Linked DNA regions of Schizosaccharomyces pombe. Changing the gene in region 2 together with the main gene of any one other region gives a genetic interaction. Each region holds a gene or a part of one and is shown on either strand. Other genes may lie near its edges.

Region 1 (4,346 bases), on a different chromosome or scaffold from region 2:
TTGAGACTAGGGTCCAATTTGACTTGAGCGATAATCTTTTCGAGCGGTACTAACGAATGTGGTTTTTCAGTTAACTTCCAAGACCACACAAACTCCCTGGAATTATTAGGCTGTACTCGAAACCTTAATTGAGGCTTAGTAAGATGAGCTGCGTGAATAACCTTGTAGGGCAACTTTTCTTTCTTTGGTTTTTTATTGGCAACATCGCTTGTCGACGCATGGGTTTCGATCGCTGGCTTTTTTAAAAGTCCTTGAGCTTTATCGATAGAATAGTCCTATATTCATACGTCTTAGTTAAATAAAATCCGTTTACAATTTCAAAAATTCACTTACAGCTTTTTCAAAGAGTATGTCTAATGTGTCCGATACTTCTGCCCATCTATTATCTATATCTTCAACGTCCACAATATCCTCCGCCCGACTTCTGTCTACTTTAGAAAGAAGCAATTCAATTAATCTCATAAAACGAGAAGAAACACTTTTTATGTTTTCATTGAATTCGGTATCAATTGATTTATAAAACGGTATATCAACCTTTGCCAATTCAGAGCAATAGGCTGTACTATTCATTAAACCCTTAAACAATTCTGACTCATCCATTATGCTATTGTTTACCCTACTGGATCAGTAAGGTTTTTGGTTTGGTTCAGGAATTTTCAAGCACTTTTACCACACGCTCAACGAATTACCGAACTTGAATATAGACATCGTTAAAGTACGAAATACAAGAGCTATTTTTATATATATAAAATATTTTACACAAATGCAAAATCTTAGCAGAATTATGTAAAAGCAATTATTTATGATTAGTTCAAAATTGTGAAACTATTAGCAGGCAACTATAGAGAGGTCTTTTATAATATAGGCATTCAATTTTGATCAAAAAGTAAAAAAATAATCAAAGTAGATGAATTACAAATTTAAAAACTTCGGATAATCTAGAATGGATGAAACAATCAAATCAGTTGGATCATCGAGCGTCCTTTTTTGGAAAATTAATGAACGATATATGTATTGAGACCTTCTATAAGGATTAAGAATTGTAACAGCAACCATCCCATGATGTTGATGATGGATCAACACATGACTTTCGAAATAAAATATTTATATATGCTTCGATCTATATACGATAATTTCGTCGAATAGTAAACCGTAAGTAGAAGGAAGTACCTGAGATGCTGAGTAAAAATAGAACGAAGACCTTTAAGAACTAAAACGCAGAACAAAGTTGAAAGATCGGCAAAAACTCTACACACTATTACTCTTATCAAAGGACAAACCACATTCATCTATTCTAGCAATTAAATCCCGTTCGGAGAAAGAAGTCTAATTTTTGTTCATCCACTGTTCTTCATGCCATGGACCGGCGTCAGATAGTTCGCAGCCACCTGGACATTGGCAGTTTCCACCGAGTTTAGCAGGAAGATTATCAGCAGGGATTTGTTCGAGCAGAGCACTCTTATAGTTTGAGCCTAAAATATGAATTTTTTTGACAGTTGCCTCATCCAAAAAACCTTTGATAAGATTAAAGGCAGAAGAGAATCCCCAAGGAGCGTTAATTACATAAAACTTGCCCATCCTTTCGGGGTAATAATCTTGACTCTTTAACGTGTTAATACTTGAAAAAAAAAAAAAAGAACAAAAATTTCAACATTTTCAACTTACAATGCTTGATGCTTGACGAATGTAGCTGTAAACCGAGTGAATACTAGTAATACCAACACCCTTTAGATCCATGATTGTGCACGAAGTTTCAATCAAGCCTCCTGCTTTACGAGAACAAGCGGGCTGAAGACGGTTAATAAAGATGAAAAGAAATATCAAAATGAAAAAATATATCACAAAAAATTCAACACAGTAGAAAACCAAAAGTTTTTCTATTAAAAAGCCGAAAAACCAGCCTTATATGGAATATGCAAATCCAAAGGAAAGGTTTGATTATGAGAATTACTGGAGATACATTTAATCATTTGAATTTACTTACAAACCGTTTTAAAGCAAGCATTTCATATTCATAAACCAAATTTTGCATCATACGCTCGGGAGTCGTGATTTGGTACAACTTCTTCAAATCAATGTTACCGAGTTGCTCAACGTATACCGGACGGCCGTCGATGTCAGTTTTATGATAAAATTGAGGGTAATATTTGGAAACGGCTTCTTTCTCATCATAATGAAAGTTTTTGATAAGATCATCAACACCAAATTCTTTTCTCCACTTTTCGCATTTAATAAACATTTCCAGCGACTGTTGCAAATTAAATTTACGGGCTCTCAAAAAACGCAACTAAGAATCCATTAGTACAAACACAAAGTTTCCTGCTGTACAACTTACTAAAGTGGCATCGTCTAATCTTTCCGTGTATCCAAGTTTTTGTAACTCTAAACGCATGCTATCTAGCGTAGCTTGCTGTGTAGAATTCAAATGCCCTGGGTGCCCTAATGGAGCATTTGGATTAGTTAGAGGATAAGGATCCGATATAGTTTCTGACATCTTTTTGTTTAGACGATGGTTGTAGAGAGAAGACCTAATGACCCAGTCTGTACAAGATGTATAAAGGAAAAGGAAGAACGTCAGCGACCTTAATACTAGTGGTCATCAGCCGTGGGGGATCAGTCAAGCGTGGGGGCCTTTTACCTACTACCGCAGGAACCTTTGTTGCCATGCTACACCCAACGCTATTGTTATATGTGAGTATGAGGATAAACTTCAGTGTTAAAAATCAGATGAGAGGAAGAAGCTCCTCGTATGAGGTTTAAATTGTGTATAACCAATTTTTCAACTTGCATGAAAAGTGCGACAAATTTGAGATGCAGAATGGCCTTCAACGAGGCGTTGAAGGTAAATAAAACATGGGGAAAAAGTGACAATTTAACTTTGTGGAAGCATTTTTTCTTTACCAAAAAAAACGAACGATAGATAATGTTTATTTTATTTAAGCCTTTGAGTGCGCTTGTGGTGATTTTCTGTCATCAATATTTATGCACCTGACAGCTTTGAAAGAGTAAACCAGGCACTAAGAAGCGTTATAGTACATAGAGTATAGAATATGTAAATGGATGATCATATTGCGATTTTGAGATTGTTGTCTATGTAAAAACGGTATAGGAGTATCGTAGCTGGATATTTATGTGAAGTAAAACAGTTCAATTTTATGATTGTTCAGTTTTCGTATTATAAATGAGGAGTAGAAAATTGTCATAGAGTTGTGATTAAAAAAGAACTTTAAATAAGCAAATATAGTAAAGGAAAAGAAATTTTATTGCAAATGGAAAAATATTTCGTGAATAAGCAATTTAACAAAAAATACATATTGAAACGTAAATAAAGTAATACTATACGACATAAAAAATAAAATAAAATAAAATCTAAAGAATGAATAAAATAAATAATAATTAGACTAACAGCCACTTAAATATATATACAAAATTTTTTTAAAAACTAGTTTTGTCTCGCAAACGTAATTATTGTTTCCTTCTCTTTCGATCGAACTTCAGCCATAATTTTGAAAGCGTTTCTTCCACGCAAAGTTTAACAAAACATACAAGAGTGAAAGGCATTGCTTGAATGGACAGTCCATTTTGTACTTGCATAAAATTTTCAAGTTAGTATCAAATTTTCTACATGTTAGCAATAATACATTTATTTACATTGATTTTACCTTTAAAGACCTATAACAATATAAATTTTTGATTATTATATTAACGTTACGGAAGGATAGTATAATCGTCAAAATATCGTTATAATTTAACAAACGAATAAATGCAGGAAACAATGCATTACGCAAGCTTGTTACTAAAGGCAGGAAGCATAGTTTGAATATAGGATGAAAACCGTGGATATCAATGTTATAAGCATTTAACATTGAATAAGTATGGTAGAGGTGAAAAGAATCAGTACTACGTTTCTTAATTGGCAACCTTGCACCTCAAACCCAGCTGAAGTGTACTTTGCACACGAGTCTATTACTACATGGTTTTTTTATACATATTAAATAATAGCAATGGTTATTTGAACTGCAATAACGGTAACCCTACCCCGATATCTCCAAGTTTGAAAATTTACTGCTTTTATGAAAATTTAGTTTACAGTTTGTTTTGGAAACGATTATGCTATCAGTGCAGAAGCTGAAAAAAAGAAAATTTCGGGATAGTAAAATTGTTTTCATGTCATTTCCCTGGCGGTGGTTTTGAAAAGCCCGAAGTTCCATTCATTTGAGTGGCAACTTAATTTTTCATCTATTTAAAGGATGCAATTTTAGTACCACTCCGCCGTATCTTCTACCTAAGACATAAAGTTGTGAAGAAGAAAAAAAAATAAAGGTAGTTGGAAGAAAACCATCTGC
Region 2 (4,592 bases):
AAAATGGTGTTAAATCGACAGCTAAGGGCTCAGCTGGGAATCATGAAAAGAATTCAGTTAATGGTCAAAAGAATCCTGAAATGCCTCCAAAACGTCGGAAGACAGAAGAAAACAAAAAGCCTACAAAATCCGCCCTTCCCAAGAAAGAGGCTAGCAAGAAGAAGAATCCAAAGGTCAAAGGTATGTTGGTTTATGCTGTTCAATATGGAGAATGGAGTACCTGTTTACTTTAATACTAACATTCAATTAAGGTCCTGTGGATGTTGAAAAGCAATGCGGTGTTTTGCTTCCTAATGGGCAAATGTGCGCCAGATCTCTCACATGTAAAACGCATTCAATGTCAAGCAAACGAGCCGTTCCGGGAAGATCTCAGCCATACGATGTTTTGCTTGCAGCTTGTCAAAAGAAAAACCAAGTAAAAATACAACGACAAATCCTCGAAACTGCAAAAGAATCCGAAGATAATCAGCATCAAGCGCCTGTTGATTCTGATGAAGAAGTCAGTTTCATTATGAATGTTCTCCAGAAATCTGGCAATCAGCCTTTGGAGCAAAAAGTTTTTTTACCCGTAAAACGTCGCCATTCGTATTTTCGTACTAGAGAGTTAATAGCTGCTGCATTTCGACATGGTGAGCAGGGTATGCAAGTTACTGGTACTATATTGGGACGAGTGATTCCTTTTAGTGCCCGCCAACCACTATAAAGAAATTCTTTTGATTTTGCTTCGGTTGATGATTTAAATTCTTTATGAGATTATAGTTTACATTTTGGTCTACTTGACCACGCATTTTCGACTTTTTAATTTTCTCCTCCGTTCATCTAGTTTCTATTTCATTAATTTTTTCATTTTTTATTTTGTATATTGCACCATACGGTCTTAACATTTGGAATAATCAAGTAGAAGTTAATAAACTATAAAAATACCAATAGAACCCAAAACCAATAATCAATTCTAAAAAAAAGAAAGAAACAAGTATTCTCCAAAAATATATGTACACGTTTGTAGTCTAATTTTTTAAAAGAAACAGCAAAGTTTATGGTATCAGTTTGTTGCAAATCCTCAGTCTCACAATCAATCCTTTAGCCCTCTAAATCATCCTTGTTTTCAGCCGAATCTTCTTCTTCATCGCTAGAAAGAACATCAGGCAATTTTGAGGAAACCTCTTGCGTCTTTTCAGTAATGCCTATATCTGATAAATAACTGAAATCTTCTTCATTATAACTGTCAATAAAAGACAAAAAACAATGAAATCTAAACCGGTTAGTTAATTTAAGAAAAAAATATACTTACACTTGTTTACGAGCTTCTTCGAGAAAAATTTTATCATAAATATGAGCATGCTTAAAAGCAGTAATTTTTTGCTCGTACTTTGTAAAGTCGATAGGATCACGATTATTCTCTGGAGCTTTATGTTCATTATAACCTTTAAAAAACGGTGACTCTAATAAAAGTCCAAAACCAGGTCCCTTGGGTATGTTAATTTTTGTTTTTTTAAAGGCATCTTGTATGCGCTCAACAGGACAACCCGTTCGTACAACTAAAATAGCAAGCGCAATCATCTTTCTAATTTGGTGCAACATAAAAGATTGACCATGAACTTTACATGAAATCCATTCTGTATCGCCAATCATGAATGGATCAGATGCCTAGAATGTTAGAAACAAGACTTGTCAAGAATACTATAAATACAAAGAAGATAATTCTTACTTACAGTAAAAGAACGGATCACGCGATTACTATTCTTCTGATGAAATGCTTGCCCCACAGTAAAATTGTGAAAGTTATGAACTCCAACATATTGGTTTAAAGTTTCTCGAATAACGGACAGCCTATCTGCGGAAATACGGTAATTTTTTAATTTAAGTACTTCAATGTGCTTAAGTGCACGTTCGAGACGATAACTGGGATCAATCTTGGAACCAGCAGATTCGTCTTCAACAGAGTCAGGCTTTAAAAACTCGTTTACAATAGCAGAGGAATCGGAATCCATATCTGGATTAGTTTTAGCGGAAACTCCTGCTTCAGAGCCCTTATTATTTTCCGAATTAGCAAGAGCAGCAGCTCCCCTTTTAGAATATGGATTTACGAAGCCTTCAGGATCCTGTTCATAAAGGCTCAAAATCTCTTTGGCTGCAATATCATAATCATCCCAAAATTCCTTTCCTTCTTCATAAAATAATGAACGACTGAGTTGATTTATATTTTCCTTGTTAATTGGCTCAGCAGGCATGGGAGAATTCTTCATAATGCAATTTCCAAGTATGGACGAAGGTTTCGGTGGAACAAAAGCATACGTTGGAACCATATATTCATATATACGAGATTCGCAATAAGTCCTTGGGTTAAAAGAATTAATAGTACGGATCACATCCCATAAGCGAATGGAAGGAGGGAGGTGTTCGTTCACTTTTTCAATTAACTTCTCATCTTCCATTATAAGTTTGAGACTGATAACATTTCCAGCGGCATGAACTCCTTTATCAGTTCTTGCGGCTCTTGCTAAAGCAACTTTCTTTGGGTCATCAGCGTTATAAGAAGAAACGGCACCAGCCTTCACAAAAGCATCAAAAAGATCTCCTTCGATTGTTTTACTAGGAGGATTCAATTGCATACCATGATATCCGCTACCACAATAACCTACAAGACAGGCGACCTTTCTTTTCGGCTTTTTTTCTCCAACTACCAAATTCTCTGGCCGACCTTCTCCATTGTATATAGAATTAGGTCGGTTCCTTTTCGCTTCTCGACGATCACCATTGTACCAAGTGCGTTTACCACCACGTCCCATGCTGTAGTTAATATTATTTGTTTTTGATGAAAACGCAATTTACGCTGCACAGGTAAAAATTCATTTAAACATAGTAGAGTATATTTTCTTAATAATGAAATGCAAGGAATCGTTATTCATTCAATAAGATAAGAGTATAATTACACGATGGTTCACTAAACAATTATAAAACAATATACTTCGCTTACCTTAAGTTAAAAGTTTTAAGAATTAAAAAGCTAAATATTGTATCGCATTTCGAGCAAAAACAGATTGATGAAGCATTCAAACCAAAAAAAAATAATCAGCCTGAAAAAGGAATGACTTAAGACTGACTATTAATTGTTGCTTATTCTCTGTCTCTGTGTTTTATCTTTTGTTACCAGTTGTCGAAGTAAAGGCCAAATTGAAACCCGTGACTAATCCTTCCAATAACTAAGAAAAGTATACCTATTATCAATTTTATATCAAAAATCTAGTCCTTTTCATCGTTCATAAACCTCATTTTTTATTTTTTTCTTCCACACGTTACGAACAAAACCGCAAATTGTCAGCAATACTACACTAAGCTATGATATATTACGTTGCGTTTCACTATATGTCACATGTTCTAATTATATATCGTACCATGTATGATACGATATTGATATTGATCTTAATTAAAATCTATTAATATGTATATTATCTGAATACTATAAATAGAGCTACTGCTGAACCTCGTTCCTCAGTTCAGTTATGAGCTATATTAGTGATAGGTAACATTATAACCCAGTTAATACAATACCTATACTCAGTTGCTACTTATACAACCTGTGTATTGTAATATAATAGATCACAAGGAAAACTCACCGCAGTTCTACGTATCTTTAAATCAGATACCAAACTGCGTAGCCGACACAAATGAACTATAACGAACTAATATTAGTTGCAACTTACGACGGCTTTACTTGAGCTCTTTAAATTTAACGTATTCGCAACAATCACAGTGCGTGTAAAACACCCACTAGAATGTTGACACCATTGTGCATTTTATTATTTTTCTCAAATATTGGAATTGGTGCTTAATAACTCATATTGGTATATCAATATATTAAATTATTTGACATTTAAGATACTAATGAAATAGTTATTTCATTCGTGTGCTTTAGCCGTTATCATCGGACGGTTTACATAAAATATCAGCGTTTTTATAATTACGCGTGCTTCTTTTTTCTTTTTGTCGTATTTAAAAAGCCAAGGAAATTGTTTTTGATAATCTGTTTTTTACATGGAAAACGATGAACAAATAGATGAGACAGAAGTATGACCAATATGGACTGGTAGACGCAGGTGTTTTGAAATTATTATGCTGACGATTGTTTAAAGAATTTTGCAATTGGAAAATATGCCATTTTATTTGTGATTGAAGTTTCTCCCAGTATGCTTGATCCTGTCGATGAATTTACTCCCAGCTCTTTGCAGATGGCACTTATTTGTGCGTACCAGCTGGCGGCTCAAAGAGTAATCACAAATCCCAGCGACATAATGGGTGTATTGCTCTATGGTACTGTAAGTTTAATGCTGCATTTAAATTCACCGACGTTTACTTCTGCCATTAAATGTCTCTAACCACAGCGCAGGAGTCCTCTACGGGCCGATTCGCAAATCAAATGATGCTTTTAGACATTGATCCTCCTGATGCTGAACGTATTAAAAGCTTACAAAGCTTTGAAAAAGGTAAAAGCTTTTAACCGATTACTTTCTTTCATGCTTTTTCCCCACTGATTACTAATTTTGTTCAATTGTTTAAGATTTCCAATTCTCAAAAGAAAAATTCAAACCATG

Evidence for each region.
Region 1: mutations in pus1 (region 2) and spo20 together harm fitness more than expected from each alone (negative genetic interaction), as found in Schizosaccharomyces pombe (one large-scale study listed by BioGRID).

Annotation. Positions count from the first base shown.
Region 1 is NC_003424.3:607,140-611,485, reverse strand, and holds spo20 (sec14 cytosolic factor family, phospholipid-intermembrane transfer protein Spo20/Sec14), read right to left. Parts: upstream 2,518-4,346; 5' UTR 2,495-2,517; coding exon 2,336-2,494; intron 2,288-2,335; coding exon 1,985-2,287; intron 1,958-1,984; exon of another isoform or gene 1,789-1,957; coding exon 1,666-1,788; exon of another isoform or gene 1,644-1,665; intron 1,603-1,643; coding exon 1,327-1,602; 3' UTR 783-1,326; downstream 1-782. Other genes in the region: exosome 3'-5' exoribonuclease subunit Rrp6, read right to left, coding at 1-275, 334-600. UniProt on the Schizosaccharomyces pombe protein: Required for transport of secretory proteins from the Golgi complex. Catalyzes the transfer of phosphatidylinositol and phosphatidylcholine between membranes in vitro. Essential for viability and secretion.
Region 2 is NC_003421.2:2,118,862-2,123,453, reverse strand, and holds pus1 (tRNA/U2 snRNA pseudouridine synthase Lsp1), read right to left. Parts: upstream 2,840-4,592; 5' UTR 2,790-2,839; coding exon 1,713-2,789; intron 1,648-1,712; coding exon 1,292-1,647; intron 1,253-1,291; coding exon 1,081-1,252; 3' UTR 824-1,080; downstream 1-823. Other genes in the region: SAGA complex deubiquitinating submodule subunit Sgf73, read left to right, coding at 1-180, 252-703; Ku domain protein Pku70 , read left to right, coding at 4,036-4,068, 4,134-4,316, 4,388-4,484, 4,559-4,592. UniProt on the Schizosaccharomyces pombe protein: Formation of pseudouridine at positions 27 and 28 in the anticodon stem and loop of transfer RNAs; at positions 34 and 36 of intron-containing precursor tRNA(Ile) and at position 35 in the intron-containing tRNA(Tyr).